Lepisosteus oculatus: one gene and its partners. The protein of the gene in region 2 purifies or fractionates together with the protein of the main gene of each other region. This does not show direct contact. Links are inferred from orthologs where the notes say so. Each region holds a gene or a part of one and is shown on either strand. Other genes may lie near its edges. The genes, in order: rfc5, rpa1, tipin and rfc1.

The links.
Region 1: the proteins of rpa1 (region 2) and rfc5 purify together in Homo sapiens (affinity purification with mass spectrometry; 3 studies listed by BioGRID and IntAct, with this or other methods). This does not show direct contact. The link is inferred for Lepisosteus oculatus from reciprocal best matches to the Homo sapiens genes RPA1 and RFC5.
Region 3: the proteins of rpa1 (region 2) and tipin purify together in Homo sapiens (affinity purification with western blotting; 4 studies listed by BioGRID and IntAct, with this or other methods). This does not show direct contact. The link is inferred for Lepisosteus oculatus from reciprocal best matches to the Homo sapiens genes RPA1 and TIPIN.
Region 4: the proteins of rpa1 (region 2) and rfc1 purify together in Homo sapiens (affinity purification with mass spectrometry; 3 studies listed by BioGRID, with this or other methods). This does not show direct contact. The link is inferred for Lepisosteus oculatus from reciprocal best matches to the Homo sapiens genes RPA1 and RFC1.

What each region holds. Positions count from the first base shown.
Region 1 is NC_090717.1:4,488,244-4,495,345, forward strand, and holds the start of rfc5 (replication factor C subunit 5), read right to left. Parts: upstream 3,021-7,102; 5' UTR 2,885-3,020; coding exon 2,838-2,884; intron 2,236-2,837; coding exon 2,171-2,235; intron 1,721-2,170; coding exon 1,584-1,720; intron 1,125-1,583; coding exon 1,045-1,124; intron 515-1,044; coding exon 441-514; intron 204-440; coding exon 44-203; intron 1-43. Other genes in the region: ksr2 (kinase suppressor of Ras 2), read left to right, coding at 6,043-6,219. UniProt on the Homo sapiens protein: Subunit of the replication factor C (RFC) complex which acts during elongation of primed DNA templates by DNA polymerases delta and epsilon, and is necessary for ATP-dependent loading of proliferating cell nuclear antigen (PCNA) onto primed DNA.
Region 2 is NC_090721.1:10,065,176-10,072,336, reverse strand, and holds the start of rpa1 (replication protein A 70 kDa DNA-binding subunit), read right to left. Parts: upstream 3,016-7,161; 5' UTR 2,849-3,015; coding exon 2,816-2,848; intron 1,912-2,815; coding exon 1,864-1,911; intron 1,766-1,863; coding exon 1,687-1,765; intron 900-1,686; coding exon 791-899; intron 488-790; coding exon 399-487; intron 1-398. Other genes in the region: smyd4 (SET and MYND domain-containing protein 4), read left to right, coding at 3,300-3,433, 4,391-4,535, 5,541-5,630, 6,473-7,161. UniProt on the Homo sapiens protein: As part of the heterotrimeric replication protein A complex (RPA/RP-A), binds and stabilizes single-stranded DNA intermediates that form during DNA replication or upon DNA stress.
Region 3 is NC_090700.1:47,710,251-47,718,221, reverse strand, and holds the start of tipin (TIMELESS-interacting protein), read left to right. Parts: upstream 1-4,954; 5' UTR 4,955-5,077; coding exon 5,078-5,091; intron 5,092-5,735; coding exon 5,736-5,896; intron 5,897-6,555; coding exon 6,556-6,649; intron 6,650-7,067; coding exon 7,068-7,143; intron 7,144-7,721; coding exon 7,722-7,844; intron 7,845-7,970; coding exon 7,971-7,971. Other genes in the region: map2k1 (dual specificity mitogen-activated protein kinase kinase 1), read right to left, coding at 1,103-1,185.
Region 4 is NC_090696.1:68,398,578-68,405,940, reverse strand, and holds the start of rfc1 (replication factor C subunit 1), read right to left. Parts: upstream 3,009-7,363; 5' UTR 2,922-3,008; coding exon 2,919-2,921; intron 1,860-2,918; coding exon 1,740-1,859; intron 242-1,739; coding exon 175-241; intron 1-174. Other genes in the region: klb (beta-klotho), read left to right, coding at 5,687-6,415. UniProt on the Homo sapiens protein: Subunit of the replication factor C (RFC) complex which acts during elongation of primed DNA templates by DNA polymerases delta and epsilon, and is necessary for ATP-dependent loading of proliferating cell nuclear antigen (PCNA) onto primed DNA.

The DNA of each region.
Region 1 (7,102 bases), on a different chromosome or scaffold from region 2:
AGGGCACGTGGTGAACACAATCGTGCTCTGCTATTGTACTCACTTCTCCTGCTGGATGACATACTCCAGTCTGGGGACCATCTGCTCCTGAGAAAGTGGGCCGAAACGGAACCGGGTGCATCGAGACTGCAGAGCAGGGATGATCTTGGACAAGTAATTACAGATCAAACAAAACCGCGTGTTTTCCGTGAACTTCTCAATCACTGCCAGGGGACAGACAGACAGAAAGAAAGAAAAGAATTGACCTGCAGCTTAATAAAACAAAACTCACAACATGCTTAGAATATGCCAGCATTGTTTTCTCATGACAAGGTAAGGCTATCTTTGGAAGTGAGATCATTATTTGTTATGCTGTTGGCTGGTACCATAGACTGCAGAAATTACTCCAAGTCCTTGGACATTTGGCGCACAGTGTGAAGGATAGCAAAACAGATGGCTACCTCTTCTCAAAGCGTTCTGGGCGTCCTGGGTCATAGCGTCTGCTTCATCCAATATAACCAACTTAAACCCTTTCCTAAAAAGTGATAACACAGAACAGACATTTAGAGATGTTTTTCTTTCATACAAGAGGTTTACTACGGTTCTGAACGTGACAAAAGACTGTAACTGAACAGTATGTTTAGTTGCACTGTTTATACTGCTACAATAGGTACACATATATAGTGCACAGGCTGATGCCAAATACTATCAAATTCTTACTTTCCCATATTATAAAACAATTTTAAGGCAGAGCAATTGTATCTATTCAGAACATATGCCTTGTCACTTCAAGCATCTTCAAAATTTGAAGCACCATCCCAAATCCTGCCTATGAGTTGTATGTCAGCTGGAATGAGAGCATTCCTGTGGTTTTCAAAGGCCTATACAAAACAATGATAGGCATTTTACAGTGTTAGACAATGGTAAAACTTCAAAACAAATCTGACCTGTACAAATGCTCTTCTTTTCAGAAATGGGATTGTGCACTCACTTTTGTCGTACACTATTAATATTAATAATTAATGAAACACATGTAACTGACAAAATAAATAACAGGCTTCTCACTTAAAGATGGTTCTAGTGCTGGAAAAACTCAGAATGGGTCCTCGGACAACATCAATGCCTCTGTCATCAGAAGCATTCAGCTAAACAAAAATAAGGACACTTGTAAGTTCATGGCTTCCGACACTAGGTTTGTAACACCATATAATCACACAAAGTATTCCATTATATACTATATGTTATAACACATTGATACTACCAATCTGATATTGTACTGCTCATTCATTTGTAGCGGTGGTTCGTACTAAAGGTTTCCATAAATTATCAATGAGCATAGCACATGGTTGCTCCACTTAAGTCATTCAGAGCTCAGCTAACAAAAACACAAAAATCAGAAGACTGTACGGGACAATCAGCATGATGGACACCACAGCTCTAGAGCATATAGGTCTGGTTAAATAGACACGGTATGTTTAAGCAATAATTGCAACAATGAGACAGCTACAGCCAATGAACACTGACTGACATTCAGATACCATGTTCTGCATAGAGACTGCTAGGTTTGACTGTCCAATGTTTTGTGCAGTGAGTGGCTCAAGTACCTCTAAGACCATGGAGCTGAATTCTTTATCCTTATAGAGCTGTTTGGCACAGGCCAGGATGGTGGAGGTCTTCCCTGTCCCTGGAGGGCCGTAGAAGAGGAGATGTGGCAGCCGATCTTCACTAATAAATTTCTGGACTAAAAAAAAAAGATAACCTGGAGCAAATGCCTTAGAAAAACAGAAACCGTAAAACACTGACATTTCTAAAACCATCTCTCTAATGGTTAACTTAATACCTAACTGTAGTTTCTGTCAATGTCATGAATTTAATAGGTGAAACGAAGAGGCCACTGAACTCACAGGTTGTCAACATTTACATCCAGTACAGCAGTAGGGAATAAATAGTACGCTATACCTAAAGGTGAGGCTTTTCAAAAACCTGAGCTCAACATGGGAAAAAATATGAAAAGTTAGGAGGCAGATGACCTGTCGCAGCGCCTATTTGTCAACACAAACCACAACAGAAATAGCTCATGAAGTTCAACACCAGCTGAAGGATGCAGATATCTGGAAGTGTAGAATAAAACGTTATAAAACGGTAATTCAAACCACAGCGTTGATGATAAGGGGGGCAAAAACACACATACTTGTACTGAGGATGTCCTGATGGGATATCAGATCGTCTAGGGTCTGTGGCCTGTATTTCTCAACCCTGAAAGACAACAATCGTGAGCCCTGCAATAGCAACCTGCACATCAACAGAAACATTTTTACCGTCCGTTGAATTTTTACCTTCTAGTAACGAACACAGACTTGCGGATCGGCATCAACGGTATGTGGCCGGCATGGCTGTACTGTGTGTCAGGAACTCGAACACTAGACTTCCCATTAAAACTGACCTGACAGCTGACCGGCAATATGCAGTGTCGACTATAGCATGTGATGTAACGCACAATTGGAAGTTATGTCTACACTAATTTTACACTGCATTGTCGCTTTTTTAATTAGGTCTTTATTCTCCATCGAAACCAGGCATGGAAAGCAAGAAGAAAGAATAATGAATCTGTATAATTATCTGATTTCACAGTAGGGCATGAGTAATTGGTGCGATATAATGCCGTGATTAAGTACCAAAAGTGCAGTTCTCGACTTCGTACACTCCAAAGAAGGGATTCTCCAAATTATCTGATGTGACTGACAATCGTACATTTTTGGATTGTGATCGCTAGATGTGTTCAGCATTTTTTTAAACACAGAACCAGTAACGAACACAATGATCAGGCAAGGTAAATTAGCTCAACTAGGTGGACTTACCATGGTAAGTTTCTTGACTGTAACGGCGTCTTACTGGTTGAAGCCATGTTTTAAAATAAATGTTATATAACTAATACTGAACACATTAACCCTATATTTCATACATTCTCTGCAGTTGGCGCGCTTTACTACGTAAATTTGTGTATACACGCCTTTCTGGCTGCTGGACAAAGTGCTTTACGGCAATACATTGTCCAGTCAGATCCGGACTTTGAGACGAAGAGGCGGCGCTCACTCTAATGGAAAGTGTTGGTAACCTAGCAATTGTAACGTAAAATGGTTGTCGGCGCCCAGTTAGACGACAGCGTCGTACTAAGCTTTTTTTCTGTCTGTTGCTCTTCCAGAGTACTATAAAGATATTTCTTTAAATTGTTTAAAGAACACTCTTTATTTTTGCAACATTACATTGTCTAGTTATAAAAGTGACAAATCATCCTAGAAATGTTGTGCATCCAAAAATGGGTGATTATAAAATAAAAATAAATAGCACAGCTTGATATGGAAGCGTTAACGTGCATGCGTTAAGCAGAAGGGATTTAATCATAAAACCAACAATATCCTCAGAAGAAGTCAAAATCCGTCCTACCAGATTAAATACAGAAAACTCGTGCGAGGCAAATCCCCCACCGATAATAATAAAATCGTATTTTTGATCCCTTTTCCACATCTCTTTGTTTCTAAAGAGTAAGTAAAGGCTTTTGACACAACCCCCCTCCCCTAAACCCAACCCGCCCCTGTAGTTAATTTCTCCACTTATTCCTCAGTGCAACATAACTGAATATAGTTAGAATTTTACAGTGGCTTTGCTTAATGACCTTGACACATAGTGCTTTAATTTAATACACGGTTTCAGATTAAAATGTTAATACAATATTTTATCTTATTTTTTATTTTAAAATTGTATTTTATATTTACCAGTGAATAATAATAAAAGAGATTAAGTTCCTTGCTGCTTTGTAAGACAATGCCTCACAAAAAGGTTCTTAGGTTCTGAGATGAGCTATTCTATTTTATCTTTTTCCAAGGGGGGGTTGTCTCAGTTGTACATTCATAATAAGTGTGGTTTCGCCTCACTCTGCAGGTGACAGTGATAAAATGTCAAAAGAATTTATAGCAGGAATAAAGCTCCCTCATTTGGAGTGACATGTTTATTTTGTGTCCCAAAATGTTTATTCCTCCTATCCTTCAAATACGAACTGTCGCACTGTGTCCACTGAAAAGGGAACAATACTGCACCTGTCCTAAACTGTGTTCTGTAGCCTCAATCACACAAGTTTGGCATCTGTTCTACAAAAAAACACAAATGATCTATTATCTTAACACAGCTGGGAATGACAAAAGCAGGCTCATTTTGGGTGAAAAAAACAATGTATCATTATTATTCATTTATCCAGAACAACTTGCATTTGTACAGGTAGACATTTTACTGAAGCTTCTCCCCAATCCATTTTCTAACCACTCCTTCCAATTCAGGATCGTGAGGGATGAGAAGCACTGGACGGGACACCAGTTTCCCAAAAAGCCAATTAACCTACCAGTATGTTTTTGGACAGTAGGAGGAAACCCACACGAACCCAGGACCCTAGCACTGCACTGTGCCAGTGTGCAGCTGAAATACGTAACTCAAAGGTGCAATGGAAATACTCCTGGGATATGAACCTACAACACTCCAGTTATGAATCCTAAACACTACTCCTCACTGCTGCACAATGGAATGCCAACACACAACATTACATACTCTATGCTTATTTGTTTTCTTAAAATAAGACATTTTCCTAGGGTTAACACTGTTTATATACGATTTTGTCTTTGTAGCCAATACTTGTATCACATTCTCTATTTTCCCTGTAGTTTTACCAGTATTTGTTTCCCTCTCATAACGTTTCATGTACATATAGAAGTGAATCATTTTGAAGTTCATCAAAATAAACGTGACACCTAGTTTTTCAATCTAATCAACAGAACCACATTCACAGAACAAAAACTCAAGTCCAATCAGTTCTGTAGCCATAATGAGGTCAATATCAATTACCACTGTAGTATGAAGTGATGTTTAATTACTATTATTTTCCAAGACGTAATGACAGCGTGGAGAGATGCCACTTCACGCTTTGTAAATGCGTCCAAATTAATTTTGATCTAGACTATCTAGCTAAATATGTTGCTACAGTATGTATTAAGCCGCCACAATATATTTAAATTCTTAATGGCAAATCGATATAACTACCATACTAACATTTCAAATATATCACCCTAGGTATTCAGCTGGATGTGTTATGTCAAAACATCTAAAAGAGAGCAAACAAGAGTTTAAAACAAGAAACTTCACTGGATATACAGTAGGTGGAAAAGCAGAATTAAAAAAAAAACACCGGATTGATTACATTAATAAGGTTGCGTGCAAATGAACTTGACGTCTCTCCTCGGAGACAGAAGTATGTGCCAATAAAACTATTCTTGTCCACAAAAAAAAATCACTTGACAACTACAGTAAATTTAGCTCAAAGGTTGGAGAGTTGAAACAGTGAGCTCACTGCGATGAGGGAAGCCTTATATCTCGCGAGAACCCCGCTCCTCTCCAAGCTCGCTCGGTGCTGCTGCCTCTGTCGCCGTTGCTGCTATTGCTGTGGATTTGATTGACAGGCAACATGTCGGTGTGGAAGCAGAGAGCCGGGATGCAGCTGTTGGCACGAGAGACAGAGAGCACCTGCACACAGTGCTTACACCAATAATATTAAAACGCCGTCTCGTCTCTGTCCATTGTGCAATGCTGAGCTAAATACTTACTCTTACTTATTTAAGCGTCCAAATACTCCATGGAGCCAGCTGAAGCAGACGCTCTGTTTTAAATGTATTTCTCCTGAATTTCTGTTATATTGTGTCTGACTGAGCCCTCAACATCAGTACCGCTGCCTACCTGAACTGCTCTGATGAAACCAAGCAGTTCCACTTCGGCAGGAGATAAAAAAGGAAGACTACAATGGAGTCGCCGTCAAAATAATATCTTTTTAAACAACAGCAACAACAAAAAACCATTTTGATTAATAAAATTAGTTTAATTTAATTTATTTCGGATTTAATTTATTTGGGAATTCTTACTGCATTTTTTAATCATTGGTGGGATTTTTTTTTCTCCCATCCGATTCTTTTGTAATTCCGACAAAATAAAACCAGAGTTAGACAAGGGGATCCGTGCTCGCAAACTATGGATGAGGAAAATATGACAAAAAGCGAAGAGCATCATTTGAGTTTGCAAAAAGCCTTGCAGCAGTGCGAACTGGTGCAAAATATGATAGACATCAGCATCTCCAGTTTGGAGGGGCTGAGGACCAAATGTGCCACATCCAACGACTTGACACAAAAAGAAATAAGAACCCTGGAGGTAAGCTTGAAATTAACTCGTGTTTTCATTATTATTGCAACCAAATTCGTGCGCATTGAAGACAGGAGGTGCTTCTGCTTATTCATTTCTTCATTTGCTGTTTTTCCCAGTAAAATAGTTCAGTGGATGGCTTTTAAAATCCCGGTTTTCGCCCTTTTGTGCCGATATTTGTTTATTTATCTGGGTTGGCGTGCAGTGTAATAAATTAAGAAGCTGCAGTCAGCCGATATGAGCTTGCGCATTCTGCAGGTGGTGGAGAAAGGTGGATCGAGCGTTTTATTTCTAAGCAGATTTTCTCTGCAAAACGCTGAGGCCTGAATTGTTTCTAAGCATTTTGCAACACAGACGACCGCATTACCTCGGCTGTACAGTACGATCTGTGGCAGCGATCCCAGTACAGCGACGCTTTTTTTTCATTTGTATTTCTTTTGAAAGGTTTGATTTTTTTTAAATGGTCGTTGACCCATTTGTAGCAAATGAGAGGGAATCCTAACAAAAACCCAGCGTTGCGTAATAGATGTGGCTACTGGTCGTGTGTTTATAATGTTGAAGCTGTGTGTTTCGTGAAAGCTTTGTAAATATTAAAGGAGTGATGCATTCATATTACACATGTTCTTGTCTGTTATTTAAACCTGCGATTCCCTAATGGCCACGTCTGTAGGCGGGGAATTTTAAAACATTCACAGGATTGAAGCGGGGTCGTGTGTCTCTGTACTTGGAGTGCATTTGTTTTACCACAGCTGGACAAAAATGAGGAAAAAAAACATTCTTGTATTTTTTTTAAACGCAACAGATATTTTAATGATCAATACAATGTGAAATATTTCTTAATATTTTTAGTTTTTTTACCGACCCCCTCTTGTACGCAAGATACAGCTTTTGC
Region 2 (7,161 bases):
TAAAAGCAATAGAAGTCGAGCCAAGAAAACCAGGCAACAGGCTGTTGTTTAAAGAGTAGGGGTGTTAGCCTGGCGTCCTGGCCAAATTCCCCCTGGTCTTTACCCATCATGGCCTCCTAATAATCCCCATCTCTGAACTGGCTTCATCACTCTGCTCTCCTCCCCACTGAGAGCTGGTGTGTGGGGAGAGGACTGGTGCATCATCCAGGTGGGGCTGCACACTGGTGGGGGTGGAGGGGATCCCCATTACCTGTAAAGCGCTTTGAGTGGAGTGTCCAGAAAAGCACTATATAAGTGTAAGGAATTATTTAGGACTTCTTAAATTGCCATCTTTTTACAGAACATCCTGGATTCCTACTGCGACACCCAACACATGCTGCACGCGTCTCATTCCTTACCTTCTCCGTAAGGGACCGGGTCCCCAATCTTCCCGCCCACGTCGGACGCTGACTTCAGAACCTCCACGTCGACGATGATCACCACACGCCTGGGCGCCCCAAGAGCCAGAAAACAGAGCAACTGCTTAGGACCGCCCGCGCTTGCAGCCCGGAGGAGACAGCTCCCACCCAGCGCCAAGCTTTCAGGTTCTCATTGTGGCCTGAAAGCTGAGCTCCTCAAACCCCACCTCAACAAGAGTTCATAAACCTGGGGGACGAATGCACTCCTAGCAGGGCTTGGACTTCACTGTACTTCAAGACCAACAATGACAGAAGTGCTCCTGTCCTTCTCTCTCTGTCTTTGCACCGGCAGGAATCTTTTACGTCTGGGCATGCCAGGCGGCACGACTCACCTGCCATCCTTCAGGGTGTTGTGGACGTTCCTCTTGATCTGGCAGATGCAGTTCGAAGACACGGTGTTCTGCTCCACCAGGTGGTTCAGCTGCGTGGCCAGCATGAAGGCTGTGCCAAGGAGGAAGATTTCGGGGTGAAAAAAAACAAACATGCACAGTGATGCCCTGGACTCCAGGGAGAAGGAGCTGGACGAGGAGTTTGAGGCGGCCGATGACGCATGAGCTTTTCAACAGACCTGTGCAGGAGCCCCAGGGAGCCCTCAACTACACCGCCTCCCTGTAGTTTCAAACCCAAATATCAGACCCTTTACTTGTCACGATTAAAAAAATGTGCAAGTACCAGTTATAAATCATTTAACAATACTTTAGGTAACAGGGCTCTCTTTGACACCTGAAGTCTGGAAGACACAGAGAGGAGAGAACACTTCTCACACAACCAGAACTTGCAGAAGCAAAACAACCAGGACCAAAGGAAAGTGGAGCAGAGCACAGTGAGACTGGGTCCATCTCTGCCATTCAAACCGACTCTGGATCAACTAGGAAAAGCTCCTAAAATTTCCCCAAGCTAAAAAATTCTGAATTTATTACATGTAAAATCAAGTTTACGACCTTAAACCATAACCTTCTCCAGAGCTTAATGAGCAAAGACTTGAGCAGCCACCAAGACTTAAGCACCACAATAAGGAGCAATACAACTATCAAAAGGACTTAAATTCAAAGGCAGATGCAAGATGCTTCCCCGCCAGCAGGACACACTGCTTGTTCCCCGTCTTTAAGAAGAAAGAGACATATTCCAGAGGACCGACAGTCTCCTGAGGTTCCAATCTAAACCCAACCGATGGGAGCCGACTACTGCCCGGCTGAAACAGGCCCAATACCGCTGCTGCTGTACTCACAGGACATGGTGTGCACCCCGTCGCTCATCATCATCCGGAACCGGACCGGCCCGGCGCTGCTCTCGATGCGCCGGATGTTCTGGTTGGGAGGGGGGAGGGGACACAGGTCAGATCTCAGCGATGCTGCAACAAGGGCAAACAGATCTCGGATCTCGGATCAGATGGGTCCGTACTCACCACCACCTGCAGGACCATGTTGGGCACGTCGCTGCCCTTGGTCAGAGCCTGGGGGGACAGAGAGTGAGGAGGGGGGGTCAGCCAGGCCTGGCAGTGTGTATCAAATATCAAACCCGAGATACAGATGAACTGAAACTGGAATTATGAATGCACAGCTACACAATTCTATCCCTCTTCCTTAATCATAAAAAACTTCCTTACTTTGAATGCATATAGCCCAGTTAGAATGAACTAAGATGTAAAGCATTAAGAGAACAGACAAGAACATACACAGATGAAAAATTCGTTTATGTGTATATTAGCACATGTCTATTATAAAATGATGCCTGCGGCACGTCGTCAGTACCTGTACAAACATCAAGCCCGTCCTCAGACAGGCTGGGTGCCGCTCTCGGCCAGCTGAAGTCCCAGTAACCACTGACTGAAGTCTGAGAGCTAACGAGCTCCTGCCAGTGTAGGACTTGCGGTGGGAAATTAAAACACTCAGCCTACAGACAGCTACAGCAACGACCCCAGACCCCGAGCCGTTCGCCTTCAGTTCTGGAAGCAGTGTTTCGCTCTGGCCAACATGCAATGCAAGCAGGTGTTTGTTTTGTTACAGAATGGCGTTTATCAAGCTTGCACTTTATTTAACGGGTGCTCCCGGAGGTCATGGCTGTTGTGAGCCGTGGAGCGGTTTTATTAATCCAGCGCCGGCGCGAAGGCCCGCGACACGGCTCGGAGACCAACTACACGCCCGATTCGCAGGAGCAGGGCTCTGCTTGCATCGCTTAGAAAGAGTCAAAAACAACTGGGGGTGTTACATCACCGACGAAACCCAGTAAAGCAATTCACTGCGATCGATATTGAGCGACTAGGAAAAAATATTTATCAAGTGCGACATCAGAAAGAACTCTCCGCTAGTGTGGATAATAACTACAAACTACTGCATCCACCCCCGAAAATCACCTACCTCAATGGCTCCTTCGGTAAGTTTGACAGTCATAGCGAGCAAAAGAAATCAGATTTTAACCAAAAAAAACTCTCCTTGAAAACTCAAAGACGGGTGAATACGCCTCTCTCCTCTGCAGGTCCGTATTCCGTGGCGCCAAGTTTTGGCTGTAGAGCGCGCGCGGAGTGTGTTTATAACTCTCCCGACGTCACGCGCCAAATTCCGCCGGCTACGGCGGGTCTTGAGCATGCGCGGTCCGTGCTCGGCGGAGACAGTCCCTCCCCGTTCGTCGGATTGGCGGGGAAAGCGCTCCCGCGAAACGGGCGCCATTGTGGCTCGAAGCTATGTAAATATAAGGGAGATTGGAGCCAAGATGGAGGATCTCTCAAAAGTGGGATCTATCACCCTTGACCGGAGAGTGCTGCTGGGTTTGTAATGTGTGTGCCCCGCTGCATGCAGAGATCCAATAGCTAGGCGTTAGTTTTATCATTTTTTTCAAGAAACAATGGATTTGCCGTGCCCCGAGTGGCAGAGACATGTCGAACAGAAGTGGAAGCTTTTGCCTTCCGTCCAAAAGCAGGCGTTCACGTCGCTCACCGAGCCGGCGGAGATGTATGCTTTCTGCGTCACGTTGGTGAAGTGAGTACAGCTCGCGTCCTGTCTCTGTCAGTGTAGAAAGTCTTGAATGAAAGTGTCGCAAGTGTACCTCTGAATTATCCCTTTTGGGATCGGGCTCAGTCTTGCTCGTGTGCAAACTGCACATCTAATTCATTAGCTGTTTTGCGCACCGTGGATAATCAGCCGAGGGATCAGTCCAAATCCTGTATCTGTGCAAAAATATTTACTTTTTTAAAGTTTACTAATAAAAAAAACTATAGCATGAATTTTGATTTTTAATTGAAAAAACCTGGAGTATGTGACAACTGTACAGTAAAAAAATGCTTGTTTGCAGATTATAATAATAATTGCTTACATTTATATAGCGCTTTTCTGGACACTCCACTCAAAGCGCTTTACAGGTAATGGGGATCCCCTCCACCCCCACCAGTGTGCAGCCCCACCTGGATGATGCACCAGTCCTCTCCCCACACACCAGCTCTCAGTGGGGAGGAGAGCAGAGTGATGAAGCCAGTTCAGAGATGGGGGTTATTAGGAGGTCATGATGGGTAAGGGCCAATGGGAAATTTGGCCAGGACACTGGGGTTACACCCCTACTCTTTTCAAGAAACGCCCTGGGATTTTTAATGCCCACAGAGAGTCAGGACCTCGGTTTTACATCCCATCCAAAGGACGGCACCTTTTAACAGTATAGTGCCCCCGTATCTATACTGGGCCATTAGGACCCACACAGACCGCAGGGTGAGCGCCCCCTGCTGGCCCCTCTCACACCCCAAACGGGCAGCAGTGAAACTGCAGCCCTGCTCTGTGAAGGAAGCAGCGCTCTTCCTGGCTCTGCGGTCGTTAAAAAGTAGTTATCTCAAGTCAACCGCATGTTGAAGCGTCTTCAGCTGGGGCGGCGCTGCTTCAGTGCCGAGGCGGACGAAGGCCTGATGCTCTTTCTTTCTCTCTCCCTCCCTCCCTCCCTCGCCCCGTCAGCGGTGAAGATGCGGCGCTGCTGTCGCGCGCGGCGCGAGGACGCTCCGTGCGCAAGAGCCCGGACTGCGCGCGCCTGCTCAGGGAGCAGGGGAACGGGAAGTTCAAGGCACGAGACTACCTGGGGGCACTGCTGCGCTATTCTAAGGTCACCGGTCCCGTTTCATTTACAGGCACACCCGGCTCTGCTCACGCGTCAGCTGCGCAGTCTCTGTTACCTGACATTGCTGCTTCATTATTTGTATTCATTTTTATTTGGCTGGTGCTTGCACCCACAGCAGGTTTTAAAAAAAAAAGTATTTATGCATAACAGAATAACAAAAATTACAATACAAACAAGAGCGCATATAACAGTTCAAGACAAAAAGATCGCCAGGGGTACATACTACTACATAACTTCAAGTTAGGAAAAAAGATTAAACAAATTAAATAAACATAATGTCTGCACTGCTTTCATATTTGTGTCTGCAAATACCCCCCTTACATCCATTTTAAAATGCTCAAGCATTTTATGTATATAATAACGTGCCATTAGAATAATTACATTTATTACCAACGAAATTTTAATATTGTTTTCGATGGGGCTGAAACTCAACATAACATCTTTTTTCATCGATATTGATATTGGTTTCTTTTTTAATATAAGTCTGCAGCTTAGTCCAGAAAAGCAAAGCAGCTTATGTTTGTAATCATTGTACTGGAGGCATGTCTCAGTGCAGTACTGGGGCTGAGGGGTATGATCGCACTGGGGATTCGAACCCACACACCTTCCAGCTGGGAGTCCAGGTGCCTGACTGCGCCCCCAGACTGCTGGCGCTCGGCACCTCTTACAGAGCTGGCCGTGCAGGGTCTGGGCCTGTCTGGCTGCCCAGCAGATGAGGGTCATGTGTTTCGTGCTCCAGTCCTGCGCCTTGTAAGACTCCAGGACAGCTGTCCTGGCGGCGTGGGGCACCCCAGGGGCGGACATCGCCCTGCGCCCCTCCCCCAGCGCCGTTCCGCTGACGCTGCATTCGGAAACCCGGCTCCCGGCCTGCTTGAGCGCTCATGTGTCCGATGCCGTTGCAGTTCTGCGAGCGGCCAGGAGGTGGCGCCAGAGTGGTGGTGGTGGTGGGGGGGTGGCCCTCTCACAGTCTAGTCCTTGCTCTCTCCGCAGGGCGTGTGCCAGGCGGACCCGGGCAGCCAGGAGCTGGCCCTGTGCCTGGCCAACCGCTCCGCTGCGCTCTTCCACCTCGCCCAGTACCAGGTGAGCGCCAGAAGCCTGCACGCTGCACGCTGCACGCTGGGTTTAGTGTGAGCTTTCGGGCAAAGGTAAAGCTCGGGTTGGGGTCACGGAGCTTTTAAATGGCTGAATGAAGCGCTGGCGTGTGGGCCTTGGAGTTACCCTCCTATGGGCCCGCCCTGTGTCAGAGGATCAACCCCCAGAGCTGACTGGAGGTCAGAAGGGCTCCCCCTTGGGCGTGGGCTGAACCCCACTGTGCGATCTCTGAGCTAAGATACGCTGAACTCTGTTGTCCCCCAGGGGAAAGGTTTTACTGACGCACAGCGGCTCTGTACATCTAAATACATCCCCTCTGTTACACACGCATAACTCGTTGCAACAGTTCCATCACATTACACATACATATTTTACAGCACGCTCAGTTTATACACAGTTGCATTTATCCTTGCCAATTATTTGCATTAATTACTTTTAATAGATTAGACATAAGAGAGAGAACACATTATTATCTGATCAACATCTGGGAGCCCTGAAATGTTTGCCAGAGGTTCTGATGTGCAGAATTAAGAATATAAAAAGGGATCTGATGTACTTGTTTCCCTCCTGGTTAATCACGGAGGAGAGCTGCATCAGTCCCATAACCTTCGCTGCTGTTTGGACAGGACGGGTGATTTTTGATCTTGATTGGACCCATAAATGACCAAACCACACCGCTGCACCATGTCTAGTTAGGCTCTCGGTGACAGCGTGGTAAGAGAAGAACGGGTCAGAACTCGGACGGCGCCGGGTGGTTGCTGTGGTACGTGGTGACAGACGTCCCGGGTTGTTGTGGGTCCGATCCGAAAACCAGCTGCTTGTTTTCGCAGGAGTGCCTGCGGGACATCCGCAGGGCGCTGAGCCAGGGCTACCCCGGACACCTGGAGCCCAAGCTGCTGGCCAGGCGGGCAGAGTGCCTCTCTCAGCTCGAGCGGGCAAGGGAGGAGGAGGAGGAGGGCAGTGCCAGTGCGGAGATCCGTACCGCCGGGGAAGGGGTTATGGAGCGCCAGGCACCGCAGGCACAGAGCGGCAGGCTGACCGGGACCCTGCTCTGCGCGTCTCCTGCCGTAGCCCTGCGCTTCGGCCACGGCAAGGGTCGCCACCTGCTGGCCGCGGCCGACATTGCGCCCGGGGAGGTGGTGGTGCAAGAGGAGGCGTTCAGCTGCGTGCTGATCCCCGAGGAAGCGGTCAGACCCGCGGTGGAGAGGGGGGCCGCGGGCACGGAGGACTGGCACTGCCATCGCTGCCTGCGCAGGGCGCTCTCCCCTGTGCCTTGCCAGGGCTGCAGTTACGCCCGTTACTGCGGGGAGGAATGTCGAGAGCAGGCGTGGGAGGGGTGCCATCGCTGGGAGTGCCCGCTTGGGGGGGAGCTGCTGGCGGCGGGGGTGCTGGCACACTTGGCACTCCGGGTGGCACTGCAGGCCGGGTGCGAGGAAATCAAGAGAGTGCAGGACCAGGGCAGGGGGGACGAAGAAACTCTGGACAGGATGAGCACCAGGGAAAAGTCTGATCAACCTGA
Region 3 (7,971 bases), on a different chromosome or scaffold from region 2:
GCTGATCTCACAGAGAGGGAGGGTGCGGAGAGTGGAGGCTGTAAATTTCGCCCAGTTCATCAACTTTCCAGAGGGCACCTTTTTACCCCCTGTTTTGCCCAAGCGAAAAGCTGTTAAGAGAAATGGAGGGGTACTGGGCATCGCAACTCTGCTGTGAGCAGGCCAGCTGCTGGACACCTGACCTAGGGGACACATCCAGGCTGTCTGTGACCAGTGCTCCTCAGCATCTCCCAGTACTAACAAATCCTTCAGACAGATTCTGTGCCCAGGGTGAGCTACAATCCCACAGGCCATGGTTGCTGTATCATTCACAAACAGAACAAGTGCCAAACTTACCACACAACACTAGCCCCCACTCATATACTGTACCTATCCACTGCAGCTACGTCTGGCTCTATTACAGAGAGGTGTTTTGTGTCCTTAACAGATACGGACATAGATGCAAAAATGTTTTAGCACAGATTACTGATTTGACATTAATGGAAGTGTATATACACACACACACAACAAAAAGACGTACACACCATCAGAGAAAACAAAGTGGATCAATAAGTTGTAGGCGTTGCAAGCAGGTATTGAGGATTTGCATCAACAACATTAATAGTCACAACAGTTTAAAAATACTCAGCGGGAGAAGGAGGGAAGAAAAACATCCAGTAACATGTACACACGCAGGAAACACACAGATCCAAATGGGCTATGGACTAGTTAAACCTCAGTGAAACCAGCAGGAACCCCAGGACAGCCTTTAGCATTCCACTCTGTAACTCCTATTAAAATTCCTGGGAATGGAGCGGTTCAGCGGAACCACTCCTGATGTCACGACACCACTGGGGTCCTCGCAAGATACTCCTCTTTATTTTCGGGGGTGAGGTGGGGGAGTCACCCATGTAACAGCACAGACACATGTCATATGTATTCATTTAAAAAAAAAAAGAAGAAATTACAAAATAGAGCCTCGCAATGAAAACAAAAAAAAAACACCCCAAGCAGGATATTTAGATATACGGCGCTAGTGAGCAGAGAGCAGAGCCACACAGATCACCCGATTCCGAAACAAGGAGGAAAACGTCATTGTAGCTTTTAAAAGATTAGAACTTACTCCGTGGCGCTGGTACCGTTGACAGTGTTGCCATCAGGAGCTGGGTTGAGCTGAATCGGCTCCGGCTTCCTCCTCTTTTGCATTTTTTAGAAAATCAGCGACAAATTACCCGACTACAGGAACCCCTGAATAAATCACGAACTGGCGAGTTACAGGCGCTGGGAGGGAGGGTATCTACTAGTGCAAGACTCCCAGACAAGAGTTAATAATGCAATGATATTTCAAAGAAATAGTGCCGCTATCCTACCCAAGAGTGCAGCCTGTTACACAGTAAAGCCTGCTATCGCTAAAAAAAGCTGTAAGCGGCGGATGAAGACTCGCCTTCCTCCTTCCACTGATACCCAGAATTTCTCTATGGGTGGATAGTCTCTTTATGTTTCAGTAACATTTTTTCTCCCTATTTGCTGACAGCCAATGACTGTGAAGGTGTACGTCACGAAAATATTTACATTAGTCTTCCTGCGAGCTTGGGGACGGCGTCTTTGGGGAGAGCTCCCCCTCCCGGCGAGTTCTGGCTCGACAGTTTTGAATGAACTGTACTGTAGTACGGGATAAAGAACCGTGAGAACATAAAAAAGGATTACAAACGAAACCAGACAGTCATTCGGCACGTCTGACCCGTTTGGTCTTCAGTACCTTAACACTCCAAGCATCTCATCCAGTCGTTTATAGAAGGAAGCCAGGGTATCGGCTTCACCAGATGGCTGGATAGCTTGTTCCACACCCCCACAGCCCTTTTTGTAAAGACGTCCCTGTACCCGTTCTCGGTTCTAAAATGAACCACGTCTGGTTCGTGTTTCACCTCTTGACGAGGGCCACTGTGTTTGTCAATGCCTTTGAGGACGTTAAATTCTTGGATCATCGGGTCTTCTGGTATCTTCTTCTTTTCTAGTAGCAGTTCTGGCTGTACGATCCGTGTGCAGCGTGTGAAGTTGGCAGGATGTCACACTGTACTGCCTATTTTCTTTCTTTATTGTTGCATGAATGAATGAATTAAAGATCACGCTGTCAAAATAAACCTTGTAGCTCAAAACAAAGATATTACACCGAATTAAGCGCAACACGTGATAATTAATGGAGAGCAAGCTGGGGTGCGCGAAAAGACAAATTCCTAATGCAAGAAATTGTGCATGGCTAATAAAGTGATCTTAAGGCGGATTATTTGAGTGTAACGTAATGATAGAATCATTGCAGCTTTTATGTGCAGAACCTCACCCACGTTAAGGAAAGTCACCAATCAAATCTGCTCACAGAGAATAAACGATTGGGTAACTACGTCACTTATGTAGACAAGCAAAACTGAACATTGGTCCAGATTTGGAAGACTGTAAAAAGTCAACAACCAGAAAGATGGAAAAAGTTCGAAAATGTTGCTGCGTCAGCATTTGTAGGCTGCGAGGGAACAGGTAAAGGTTTATTTCATGCTGAATATTCCTGAAGGCTCCACAGCCGAAACGTTGTGTCTCTTTTCTTCTCCTTTCGGCCTGCACGGAATAAACCTTCGCCCGTTCCACCTACAGCAGGAACATTTTATAACACTGATCGAAAAAAAACAGAGCCCTGCATTTGCATGGAAGCCCAGCCCCCTCAAAATAGGAAGCGCTGATTGGATAGAACGGACTCGTGGTCGCCCTGTAGAGAGATCTAATTGGTCAGTGTGGTTCTAAGATGTGATTGGCTGTTGGTTGCAGAACCGGCGGGGAGAAGAGACTCGCTTGGATAAAAGCGGACAGTCCTCTTCTTACCACTGTTGTAGATGAATACTTGATTTATCGAATAATAATAATAATAATAATAATAATAATAGGTCAGTGAGCGTCTTCTTTTGCGTTATCTACTCGTTGGTTCATTGTTTCCGTCGCCGTTTTTCGCGGAGTTTCTCCTTTATTTCGAGTTCACGAGCGTAGTCGGCCTTGCTGTGTTGTTGTGGTCCGGTAAGTTAAGTCGCTTTCTTGTATATATAACTCACGGTGTTGTGTAGCGATAGTTTTATAAAGTAACAAAACACAAATGTGTTGGGTTTTCTGTTGTCCACTGCTGCGATTCAATAATTGTGCAGAAAGCGTGAGGTCGCTTTTGTGTGTAAGAAGGCACTTTGCCATTGTGTTTTTGGGCACTGTCAACAGACCTAGTACGTCTATTTTCAATTTTTGTTAAAGCCTAAACTCGTTTCGTGATTTCTGTGGGCCGTACACATCTACCTAATGCTATTGCAGCTTTTACGTCAGTACGCCTACAGACAAACGTTTACAAAGCTTCTTCGGCGTCGGCCTGCACACTTTCTTGCCGTTTGGAAAGTTGGTTTGACTTTTTTGGGGGAAGATTGAAGAGGTTCTTGCTACAGAACGTGAATGGCCGTGTAGTTTTTACCCAGCCTGTGTCGAATCTGCGGTGGACAATGATAGGCATGGATACCTGTGTAAATTGAATTGAATCTACCATCCATTTTCAACCGCTTCATCTAAAACAGGGTTGCAGGGGAGCCGGGGCTATCCCGGCAGGCAACGGGCTCTAGGCAGGGTATTCGCAGGACAGGACACCAGTCCATTACAGCTCACGGGGCAAGTTTCCCCAGAAGCCAGCATGTCTTTGGATGGTGTGAACACGGGGAGAACATACAAACTCCATCCATGCAGCACCCCCGATCTGAAATTGAACCCAGGGCCCCAGCGCTGCGAGGCAGCAATGCTCACCATTGTACCACCTTATTGACCCTCTTGAAGAAAGTGATGTACTGCTCAAGGTTAGGTCCGAGTCAGTCAATACATTTTATAACCCAACGAGTTAGTTTAAGCGACTTTAGTTTCTGGCCTTTGTTTTTACGGGATGTTGGCGTCTCTGAACGTTAAGTGCATCCTTCCTTCTCTCCGGCATGTTTAGTTGTGGCTGAGATGGAAAAGACGGGCAATAATCAGATAAAGCCCCGAGCCACGAGGAGATGGTAGATTTCCTGAACCTTTTGGCTCTTCAAGGGCGTTACACCGTTCGGCCAGAACAAAAGAAATCGCTATTTAGCCATCGTGGAGAGACCCCAGTCCGACACTTTACACGTAACTAGTAACTCATTTTCTGAAGACCTGGCTGGAATAAACTAATAACAGTTAAATTTTCTCTTTCTCTAAAGCTTAAAGAAAAAAGAGCTGAGAACGCTCTGAACCTAGTTATAACGCTACTATGTTTAACGAGCCCTCTTTCTTGTTACCAGGCCTGAAATTCACACGCCAAACTCCCCACGCCGCGCTTTTCAGCTAGACTCGAAGGGGAGCTGTGTCGCTCCTCGCTGTGCGCATGTGCGAGACCCGGGCAGTTTCCGGGCTTTGCGGAAGGGGCGTGTCGGCGACCAGCTGCAGATTTGTGATTGAACGCGCGCTGCTAGTTTCGCTAACATCTTTGCCACTTGTCGATCGTTATCCAGCCGCGTCGTGAGCGCACGGAGTCCTTGCTTGTGGACAAGCTGAGCCTCCCGGATTAGTGCGGGAGGATTGTTCTGAACATGCGCTCTGATTTCGAAGAGTTGCCAGTCTTGATAACCAGGCTTTTCACTCTCCCCACAGGGAAGTATTTTCTAAAATGAGCTGTGCAGTCATGTGACCGTCTTATTTCATTGTTGGCACTGAAGAGCGTATTGCGCTGGACGCGTTTTGCTAGTCCCAGGCAATAAAGCAGTTGTAGTTCCTATATAAAACACGTGAGAGTGGTTTCACGTGTACATTTTATCGGTCGCTGTGCATCGACGGAACATGTACCAGCCACGTGTTGGACAGACTGAATCAACGTGGTTTGAAAGAACAGAACTGTTGGAAGGTGATATTTTGAAATAAGATCACTTTATTGGCCATATACAATTTCTTGCATTAGAAATTCTTTGCATACCCCAGCGTGCTCTGCATGTTGCACGCAGATGGGGAAAATGGCAAAATATGTAAAAGACTCAAGTCTTGCAAAAGATGCTGACTACATTCAGTGCTTGTCCGTATGGAAACAGAAAGGTAATTGCGATATTCACTCCTGGAAGCTCTTCTGATAATGTTAGTGTTGGCTACATATGACTTTGAGAGGAATATGTGATGGCTTCCATGGAAGGCCAAAGTAAAGGAGCTGCTTTTCTCAATTTAATCATCCCTGTAATAACCGCTTTATTCAATACGGGCTCGGAGCCTATCCTGGCAAGTAATGGACACTAGCCAGAGTACACCCTGGACACGGCACCAGTCCATCGCACATTGCAGGGCAAACACGCACCCACGTCAGGGCCGGTTTTCTCAGAAGCCGACTAACCCATCGGTATGTCTTTGGACTGTGTAGGAAACCCAGGCTGAGCATACAGAGAGCACCCCGGGAGCTGGACCCAGGGTCCCCACACTGTGAGGCAGCAAGGCTGTCCGCTGCGCCACTGTGCCTCTCCTTACCATCTCTGATAATCTGGAAAAACTGTGGTCAAGCAGGGTCTCCGAGTATCCGACACCAGGCCTCTGGTCTTGGCCGAGACCTACCGCAGGCACGTTGTCTGTTTTAAGCTGCAGGGTCCTCCTGTGCCGGGCCCCTCGCGCAGCGGAGACGGGCGGCCCACCTGTGGGTGACGGCGGCTGTGGGAATGCCGTCAGGAGTGACCCTTGTCTTGTGTCCCCCCCAGGGCGCGCCGGGCCTGCTGCACCATGATCGACCCGCTGGAGAACAGCCTGTTTGACCTTCCCGACTACGAGAACACCGAGGACGAGGCCTTTCCTCCGCTGCCGCCCCCGCTGTCCCCGGGCAGGGAGGGGTCCGGCGGGGACGGCGACGACCTTCCCAACGGTGAGAGCCCCGCGCCGCGGTCTGGGCTGACGCGGCAGGGGCCACAGTGGCCCCCGGCGGTCTCTGGCACTTCCCCGAGGTTAACCGAGGAAATCAAGCTCCTGCTTAGCCTTCCTCATGCAGGGGTTCGGCTTTGGAGACGTGCATTAGCAGAAATAGTAGACCAGAGACTGGCTGAAGGCCTTTTATATGTTGGAGGCTGTCAGTGTGTTTAATGAATTAAACCGTATAGTTCACCTTAAATGGCATGTTCTGTGTATTTCGCAGGGGCTACAATGATCTATAACATCAAATAGAACCAAATCTGTAGGAGGTAAAAAGGCCTCTTTTGGTGTGTAAAGAGCTAACACGCCTGAAGAAGGCTCCAAACAGTTTCTTGTCTTTTGCTTTCACCATGGAATCAACCTTTACCTGTTCCTTTGCAGCCTACGCATGCTGACACGGCAGCCTTCTCTGATTTCTTCAGAGATGATTATAGCAAATAGGCACTGTACATCGTATCTTTCGGAGTGTGCTTGAAAGATTGCCGATCGGCTCTGATGTGGGAGATCCATTTACAAAGTCTGCCAGGAGCTGCAGGTCCATGAGGCTGGCTATAGCCTGCTGCGGAAGACTTCTCATGTCCAGTGTAGTGGACCTGACCTCTTCTGTGTTTCAAGGGGAGGACGCGGGAGAGACGTCCAGGTTAGATGAAGCCCCCATTGCCAAGAGGAGGGCTGTGAAGAGACCTCAGCCGAAGCTTGATTCCCAAAGGTATGTGGCGAGCGCGCCAACAGAACTGGCTCTTTGAAAAGGTTCGTCGGGTCTCTCGGCTAATAAATAGCCTTTATTACAAACGGAGTCTTTTGCTTGGAATCTAAATTCTGAGTTCTTATAGCTGTACCCATTTAATAAGGAGAACAATTGAATATGATGGCCACACGTTTGATCGAGTTCCTTCCTTTTCCTGTGGGCTGTTTTCTGGAGCTGCTTGCTTGTTTCAGCAGCTGATTCAGGCACGTACTGTAGGTTTGACGTGTTCTGTTTTTTGCCGGAGTGCAACACGGGTACAGATTGCGGCCGCGGCTGTAGTTCTGTTCATTAATGAATGAAGTATGCCGACGGAGAACATCCCCTTTGTACGTGCGCTGTGTACGTGCTGTGCATTAATGTTGAGTGTGGGGTTTTTTAGGCTAGTGTCTGAAAGAGGACTTCCAGCTCTGCGCACCTTATTCGACAATGTAAGATTCAAAGGCAAAGGACACGAGGTGAGAGCTCTGCTGCGTGCATCACTTTCTAGCCAAGTCTGTTTCCCAGGCGCCGCCGCCATGACCACAGCTCTGCATCTCGTTCATTAATGTGCTTGTGACATGAGCCACTGTGCAGCATCCCTGCATTCATGAGCATCTGTAGCAGTGTAGCTCTGTTGGGAACGTGTTTGTGTTGGGGGGGGGATTCTGAAAAGGGTGGTTTTTTTAAGTAGTACGGATGTACTTCAAGGAGTTCTTTCAAGTTCCTAGAACTGATCTGGTGCAGGAAAGCTGTGAAGGTCTTTGAATTGTCTTTGTCAATTCCTTTCTCAAGTGAAGCAGGGTTCAATTGGGGGGAAAGTATCTGTGCTGGTTGTGTTGGGTCAAGTGGTTCCTCTTTTACTAACTTTCCTTACAGTTTGTGTACTATGCACAGTTGATAAAATGCGAGGCTGTTTAAATGCACAGATGTATTCTTCTATGTAAAATGGGTATTCAATAGGTGTTTTGATTTTTGTTCAGTTTGTTACAAGAGAGCTGTGTTGCTGCCCCCTGGTGGTAGCAGTAACAAATGCCTTCCCTTTTGTGTTTCACAGGCTGAAGACCTGAAGCTGTTGATCCAGAAAATGGAGAACTGGGCCCACAGATTATACCCGAAACTACAGTTTGACGACTTCATTGACAAACTGGAGTCTCTGGGAAGTAAGAAAGAAGTCCAGGTGAGACTGGAGCGCTGCAGTAGAGGAAGCTGATGCTTTTTTTTAGATGTAAAATGGCTCCAGTTCTGTTCCCAAGACTGCAGAAATCTGATCAGTAACAGGTGACTTCTTGTGTTTCTTTTATAGA
Region 4 (7,363 bases), on a different chromosome or scaffold from region 2:
TTTTCCAAGAAACAATAAGTATCAGCACGCTGGCCTGAAGGCCTAAACTCCAGCTGACCCACATCACAGAAATTCAATTCTGCCATTAATAGAGGAAATGTGCGAGACCAGAGTGTGGGCCATCATCAGAGCCATCCGTCTGCCATGTCAGGAGGGGACTTCAAGCGGACACACCTGAGTTGATGATGTTACGTTTCCTTCGCTTTACCGATGACTTATCATCACTTTTGGGACTCTTCCCCTGAAACACACAACACAGATGCAGATGAGGAAACAGATAAGGTTCTCAATGCACTGCAGTCTGACCCATTTCTGGTTGATGAACTGCATGATCATCAAGAATCCCAACATCCACAGATGCTGAGATGTTCAGGTTTATTAATTTAATTTACCTTATACAGTACATTTGTACACCCAGTACTGCAATACTACTAATGAAACACACTGCTTTCTGGCTTTAGTAGTGACCTACAGCTGTTGAAACCTGTCAAACTGTTTTGTAACAGAAGTGATGCGTTCCCTTAAAGATGAGGTCCATCCCAATGGATGGGGACAATTTCCCTTTAAAATGAACACTGTCAATTTTCACCTGAGATCAATGAAAGGATCTATAGGAACTGCTAAAAAACAAAACAAAAACATCTTTGAGACAACCATGCAGATTTCGGAACCTGTCACTTTCTATACAGGCTAGAATGGTGACCCCTGGTTTGTAAGCTTGCTCAAGTAGTTTCTCAACGCTGATTTGCACCATTCAGTGCCTGTTATTGTGTTTTAACACGTATTTCGTGCTGAAAGGGGAACTGCACTCCCAATTTCTCATACTGGTTATTAGATCTCAGTAACAAAATAAATGCATTGACTTTATAAAAAGATTTACAAATTCCAAATTAAGCATACAATTGTGAACTTTCTAGAAAGCACTAAGTCTCAATGTTGTCACAAACTCGCATTCGAGTTCCCACTAATTGAGACGTGATGTTGCCCTTCCTGCTCACTAGTCACTATAATGACTAATGTAGTGCGATGTATGAGCAAATAAGTACAGGTTGTACCGCAGCTATTTCACCTCAGAAATGTTCCAATGTCATCTGCGTGCAGAGCTAACAAATAAGTAGCATTTGTCAGCAAAACCGTCACAAAATCGAGAGCAATATTTCTACTGGATTAAAATTGGATTCAAAAGCCTGTTTGTTTACAATGTAAAAAGCTGCATCACGTCACCGGAAGTTTTGTTGTCTCATTCTGAATCGCAGGACTCAGCGCCGTGGATACTTGGAAATTTCATCTATATTGTGGTGTAACAAAATTTTTGCAAACTACTTTTACTGTGGTTGGAAATGCACTCACCCAAGTGATTCTTTTGAACCACGGAACTATAAAAACAGTGTTGAAGTTCCCCTTTAAGGACTTGCCAACACCAAGATGTTATTGTTGTCCACATTACAATCTGGACTAGACGGGACCCAGACTAGAACGCAGCTGGGACCCACCCTCCAAGCCCAATTTCCCTACCCCAGATTTGCTGTTTGATTTATGTGGGGTAAATGCCAAACACCCCCCAACAGAATCATGATTCAGAACCGGGCCTGGCTGCAGCGACCTGTGGGCGAGTCCAGAGCTCTTTCATTGAATCCAGGCCTGCGTGCCATGCCTTGCGGACATACACGAAGACCTCTGGGACACGCTGGCCCAGACAGGTGACCGCTCTCTCTATCAGTTTCCTGTCAAGCACTGACCTTGGATCCAGACTTTTTCACCTTCACATCACCCTCAGCTTTGGAGGACCTGTTCTTTGTCAGCCTCTCCTTCTCCCCAGCTTGGTTTTGCAACTGAGACTGGAAATACTTTCTTATGTCCTGCAAACGATACACACGGCCACGCAAGGTTAGCACTCCGAACCAAAATAACGTGTCAGTTGGTCCCCCGTCATGAGAGCTGGACTTTCCAACCTGGCTGAATGCGAGAGTGGGACAATGTTGGTTTTTTTTAAAAAAAAGATCTGTACACGATAGGGAAATTTGTATTTGATCTGTTTTACATTAGGAAATACTCAACAAGTTCTCTCAATACAAATGCTTTATGAGCATCCTGTAATGAGGTGAGAAACAGCCACGGGATTCATGTGGATGCAGCTACTGTAAGGTTGAACCCAAAAGGATCTGCATATGTGAAAACTAGGGATGTCCAACACGGGTCCCGGAAGGCTACAGTCTTCTACACAACCCCCAATTACTTAACTGTTACAATCAGCCCCTGCAGTTCACTCGTCTTTGACATGTGGACAGGAAGAACATATGTGCACATCTGCAATTTCCCCTCCCGCGTACCCAGAGCTTTGGTAATTGACTCTCCCGTATCTCTCAGTTTTCCAGCTAAGGGGTTTTGAAACGTGCAGCATTTAACAGAATTGATTTTGAAAGCAATTATTGAATTATAAATTCGTCACAGCTGTGATAACTCTACCGAATCAAAACATCGTTCCAGTCAAACGACAGATCGCAGATCTGCAGCGCACGATATTTTTAGTAAGCGCAATGTACATTCTAAATCGAAATGTACTTTGCGAATCCGTATGCGTTCAGAAAAACAGTATTACATTGAGCACGTTTCTCGAACGTCTTAATGCGATTAGTCTCTGTTTCTGCAAGCGCACACCTCTTTTAGTGCATGAGAACTACGCATTCATGTTAAGTGCCAACTCTAAGAAAAAATGTGTGTGTTAGATGCTTGCAAAAATAAGGCATTTTTGCAAAAGGTGTGAATAAAGTACTACCCCACCACTTTAATTTAAATCTCGGTTTAAGCCAGAGCTACTTCCAAGTCAAACGTACTTCTCTGTAAGCGAAATGGCACATTTCGAAACTTGCAGCTGTAACAGTGCTTGCAAAGCCACGAACGCCGCAAGTTATACTCACCATCGTATATTATATACGATTTCTTGAATGTTTAAAGCCAGTGTGCACCTCCAGTGCTCTTCCAGCTTGGCGCCAAGTGCATTCCTCCCAGGTCGCTGAGAAATGACGCAAGCCGCGGCCGCTGTCAGCGCGAGGCGGGCCGAGGGTGCCTGCGCAGTGCGGCCCTGAAGCTGCGGAGGAGCGCGCCGCAGACGGACAGGTGCAGCGCGCGTGCTGGACATGCACCCTATTGCCATGTGCACAACAGCGTTTGTGTTATTGTAGTTTTAGACATGGCCAATGGTCTTTTCAGTTCTCCTGATATTAGTATATAGCTGTCAATATACTGCAACATTTTTGGCGTGCCAGTATTGAATGCCCTTTGACCTATGTTCATCCAGCTGCGGTGCATTTTTTTAAGTTCCTTTCCATGTACTATGCCGATCTGGTATCATTTTCAAACTTGATTAGTTCATTTAAATGATTTAGGAAGAACAGACACCTATATCTCCCGAAATGTAGCTTTTGCTGCACAGCTCATCTGTGCTCTCAATTTTCTATTAACCAATGCTGTATCCAATTTCACGCTTAATACCATCATGTTGTAGGAGACTCTAATTTTGCAAACTCGACTAGTTTTCCATAATAGTTAGAGGTGTTTGGAGGAGCAGTAATCATTATACAAATCCCAGTGGGCATATAATTAATAATTAATAAATTAACAAATAACACCAATTTGAGTATTCACCCCTTATCAGTACCCAGTTTTCTGTCTATTAGCCAGCTCACAATCCAGGTACACACAGTTCATTGAATGTCTGACACCTGCAATTTGAGTATTAATCTGGCAGGAGGAAATTCATCAAAAGCCCTCCAAAAATCTAAATATACCAAACAGTGTGCTGACATATCCATTAGTGTTGTTGCTTGTTCAAAGAACTCTAACAAGTTGTACCTTTCCGCTAGAATCTATTTTGATCATATCCTGTTTAGGTCTCTAATTATATTCTCCCAGTCCTGGCCAAATTTCCCCCTGGCCTTTACCAGTCATGGCCTCCTAATAATCCCCATTAATAAACTGTGTTCATCGCTCTGTTCTCCTCCCCACTGAGAACTGGTGTGTGGGGAGCGTACTGGTGCACTGTGGCTGCTGTCGCATCATCCAGCTGGGGCTCCTTATTGGTGGTAGTGGAGGGGAGTCTCCATTACCTGTAATACACTTTGAGTGGAGTTTCTAGAAAAGTGTACATATAAGTGTAAGGAATAATTATTGGCAGTAATAGTACTTTCAGAATGGTACACAGTGGAAATATTTTTATATAGTTTTACATATATACTGTACATCACACATTTTAGTATTATAAAATAGTAGTTTTATTGTCTGTAGTCTGTAATTGTTTACACAGAGTTTTAATTTGAATTTTTAAATTGTCATATTTCATTATCTGCTCTTGCCAGCATAAACAGCAAATGAAACTTCAATTAAAGAAATAACTGATGGCAAAACACTGAAATCAAATGTGAGCTCTAATTAGGAGGGTCTGGACACTGTCAATGAGTTTAAATGAGTCCTGTTTCATCTGAAATTTACGATGCCCTCTCCTGCAAGTCACATTTAATCTATCTTCTGGAAGAAGAAAGAGCCAGACGAGATTTTTTTCCAAATATCCCTTTAATTCTTTTCACATAGCCCTGAAAGGGCGATGAAAGAAAAATGATCAAATATCCCCTAGGCTTAGACAAAGTCTGAATTCACACAGTATGGCCCATGAAATTAGTACAGAACATTTAAATATATTCCCAGGAGAAATACTGTATTTGTAGCTCATCACTCGAAAAATAAATTGTATCTGTTTCTAATCTGAGTGAGAGATTGATTCAGTGTCCCTGAAAAATCTGTAAAGAGTTAAAAAAACAATTGACAACAAATAATCAGTTTTTGAATGTTTTGGTACAATGTGAGAAGAAGGCAAAATATTTACAATTGACTTATTATGTATATATGGTAAAATTACCACCTACCAATATATTGTATTATATCCACATCCACATTGGATAAAGCAATGTGGTCTTAGCAAAACAATATTGCTTTTGTAGGACAATGTAATATCTGTTCATAGCTGATGAGGTAAATGATTGGCTTGTCACGTGGTTTAAACATTTATGTTAAACCAGTCATTTGACATTACCCAAAAGATGACATCCTCTGTGCAAGAAGTATTTGCACAGAAAAGAAGGTGAGACCCTTCCAGTGGTGGTCCAAGCTTGCTGCTCTTCCACTCCAAATTGTTTTTTTAAATCCTGTCATTTTCACTGGCTGCTTCTTGCCAGTCTCCAGTGAACGCCGATATTTGCTCAACACCTGCAGTGAAGGGGGTCTCTCAGATGGCATGCAGTCTCTGTGCACCGTGTGTGCACATACAGTGCTCTGCCTGCTCAGCCTGTGTGTCTTTATTCCGTTGTGCTGCAAGTGTGTGTGTGTCTGAGCAGTCTCCCAGGGCAGAGCGTGCTAGGAGCCGCCGAGCTGCCTTCCCGGAGCACACTTCTCCCTCCTAACTCATCCTTGGGATCACAGTTCAGGCTAATCATTGACAGAGGTCCAACTTGCAACAGAAGATTGTTGTGTTTTTTTTTCCCACTGGCACGATAAGGCAGTCCAGCAGCTCAGGTCTTCAGATGGCCCCAGCTCAGCTTGGCTGAGCTCTCGTGTGCTTTCCCTGTCCTCTGCTCCAGCCGTCATGCTCGTCTCCCTCGGTTTGGGCTGGATCTGAGTCCCAGGGGAGCACAGGATGGGTCCCCTTGCTTTAAAAAGCCTGTTTGTGCTGCTCCTGTGTAGCCGGGGGGCCGTGGTCTGCCTGCCAGGAGATGGACGAGCCGTGTGGAGAGCGCAGTCCAGCTCAACCCCCGTGGACGCCAGCCAGCTGTTCCTGCACGGCACGTTCCCCCAGGACTTCCTCTGGGGAGCCGGGAGCGCCGCTTTTCCGAGCGAGGGAGCCTGGGACCAGGACGGCAAGGGCCCCTCCATTTGGGATCACTTCACTCGCTCCCAGCAGGCTCCGGGGTCTGGCACCTCCAGCGACAGCTACAGGCTGTGGGAGCAGGACGTGGAGCTGCTGAAGCACCTAGGGGTGCGGACCTACAGTTTCTCCATTTCGTGGCCCCGGCTGTTCCCCAACGGGACCGGCGGGGCCCCCAACCTGCCGGGGGTGGAGCACTACAATCTGCTGATTGACCGGCTGAAGCAGGAGGGCATCGAGCCCGTGGTCACCCTCTACCACTGGGACCTGCCCCTGGCACTCCAGCAGCGCCACAGCGGGTGGCACAGCGACGCCCTGGTGGATGACTTCGAGAGCTATGCCGCCTTCTGCTTCCAGAGCTTCGGGGATCGCGTCAAGTACTGGGTGACAATGCACAACCCCTACGCGGTGGCCTGGCACGGCTATGGGACAGGCGTGCATGCCCCCGGAGAGAGAGGGAACCTCACAGCTGTCTTTGCTGTGGCTCACAATCTAATCAAGGTGAGGTAGCGCGGCTGATAAGACGTAATGGGTTTTTTTTTTCCGTGCCTGATCTATCTGCAGCCTGGCATCATTCATTCAAGGACCCAGTCGCTCTCACACAAAGCCTGACTTTGTTTCTCAAGTGAAGCTGCTGCGGTTGCCTTTTTGTTATGTGCACTGCATAGTCTGCTCTACGGGTCAGTCATAATGATTATTTATTTAAGGCTCAGTGGAGAATGGGGAAGGGAATGCACAGACAGCATAGCATACACTTCTCCAGCGCCTATGATTTATTTATCATGATAGTCAGGACTTTGGTCTTTTGGTTCAGACACCGAGAGGTAATGAAATCCATAGGGGAGGATTCTGAAGAGTTCAGTTCTTTTCCATTTGTTTTTAGAATTGTTCTTTAAACCTCAATTCCCCTGTTTCCTGCATTTTGCAGCAACAGCCCAACTTCATCTTGTATAATAGTGATAGCTTGACAAACACAGATCACTGTAGTTTTTAAAGCTCGTGCTAAAACAAAACTCATTTAAAACTTGCCGCGTGTCTGAATGAAACAACATCAGCCCACACTGCTGGCTTCATTTTCTCACCCTGACAAAGACAGAATTAGGAGTCTCAGAATAATCCTAAAAACTAATTTCCTGTATTTTATATATAAATATAACCTGCAAGGAATAACCTGCTGTTGTCATGTGCCTCAAAAACATGGTTATATTAAACATTGTTCAGATTTTCCAAAGCAGCCTGTTTAGAGTTTGAGTACCTATCAAAATCTTTACTTAATACATAACCAGCAACAATTACTTCCAATTCTTTCAACTGCCATTTTGCAGTGACTCTTTTACTGCTTTCTCGTGTTGTACTATGCCCACACCAGAAAAGGCACACCACTTAAATGACACGTAAGTGAAGAAATGAGATTTAAAAACAGGAATTAAAGTCCGGGAATTATGACAG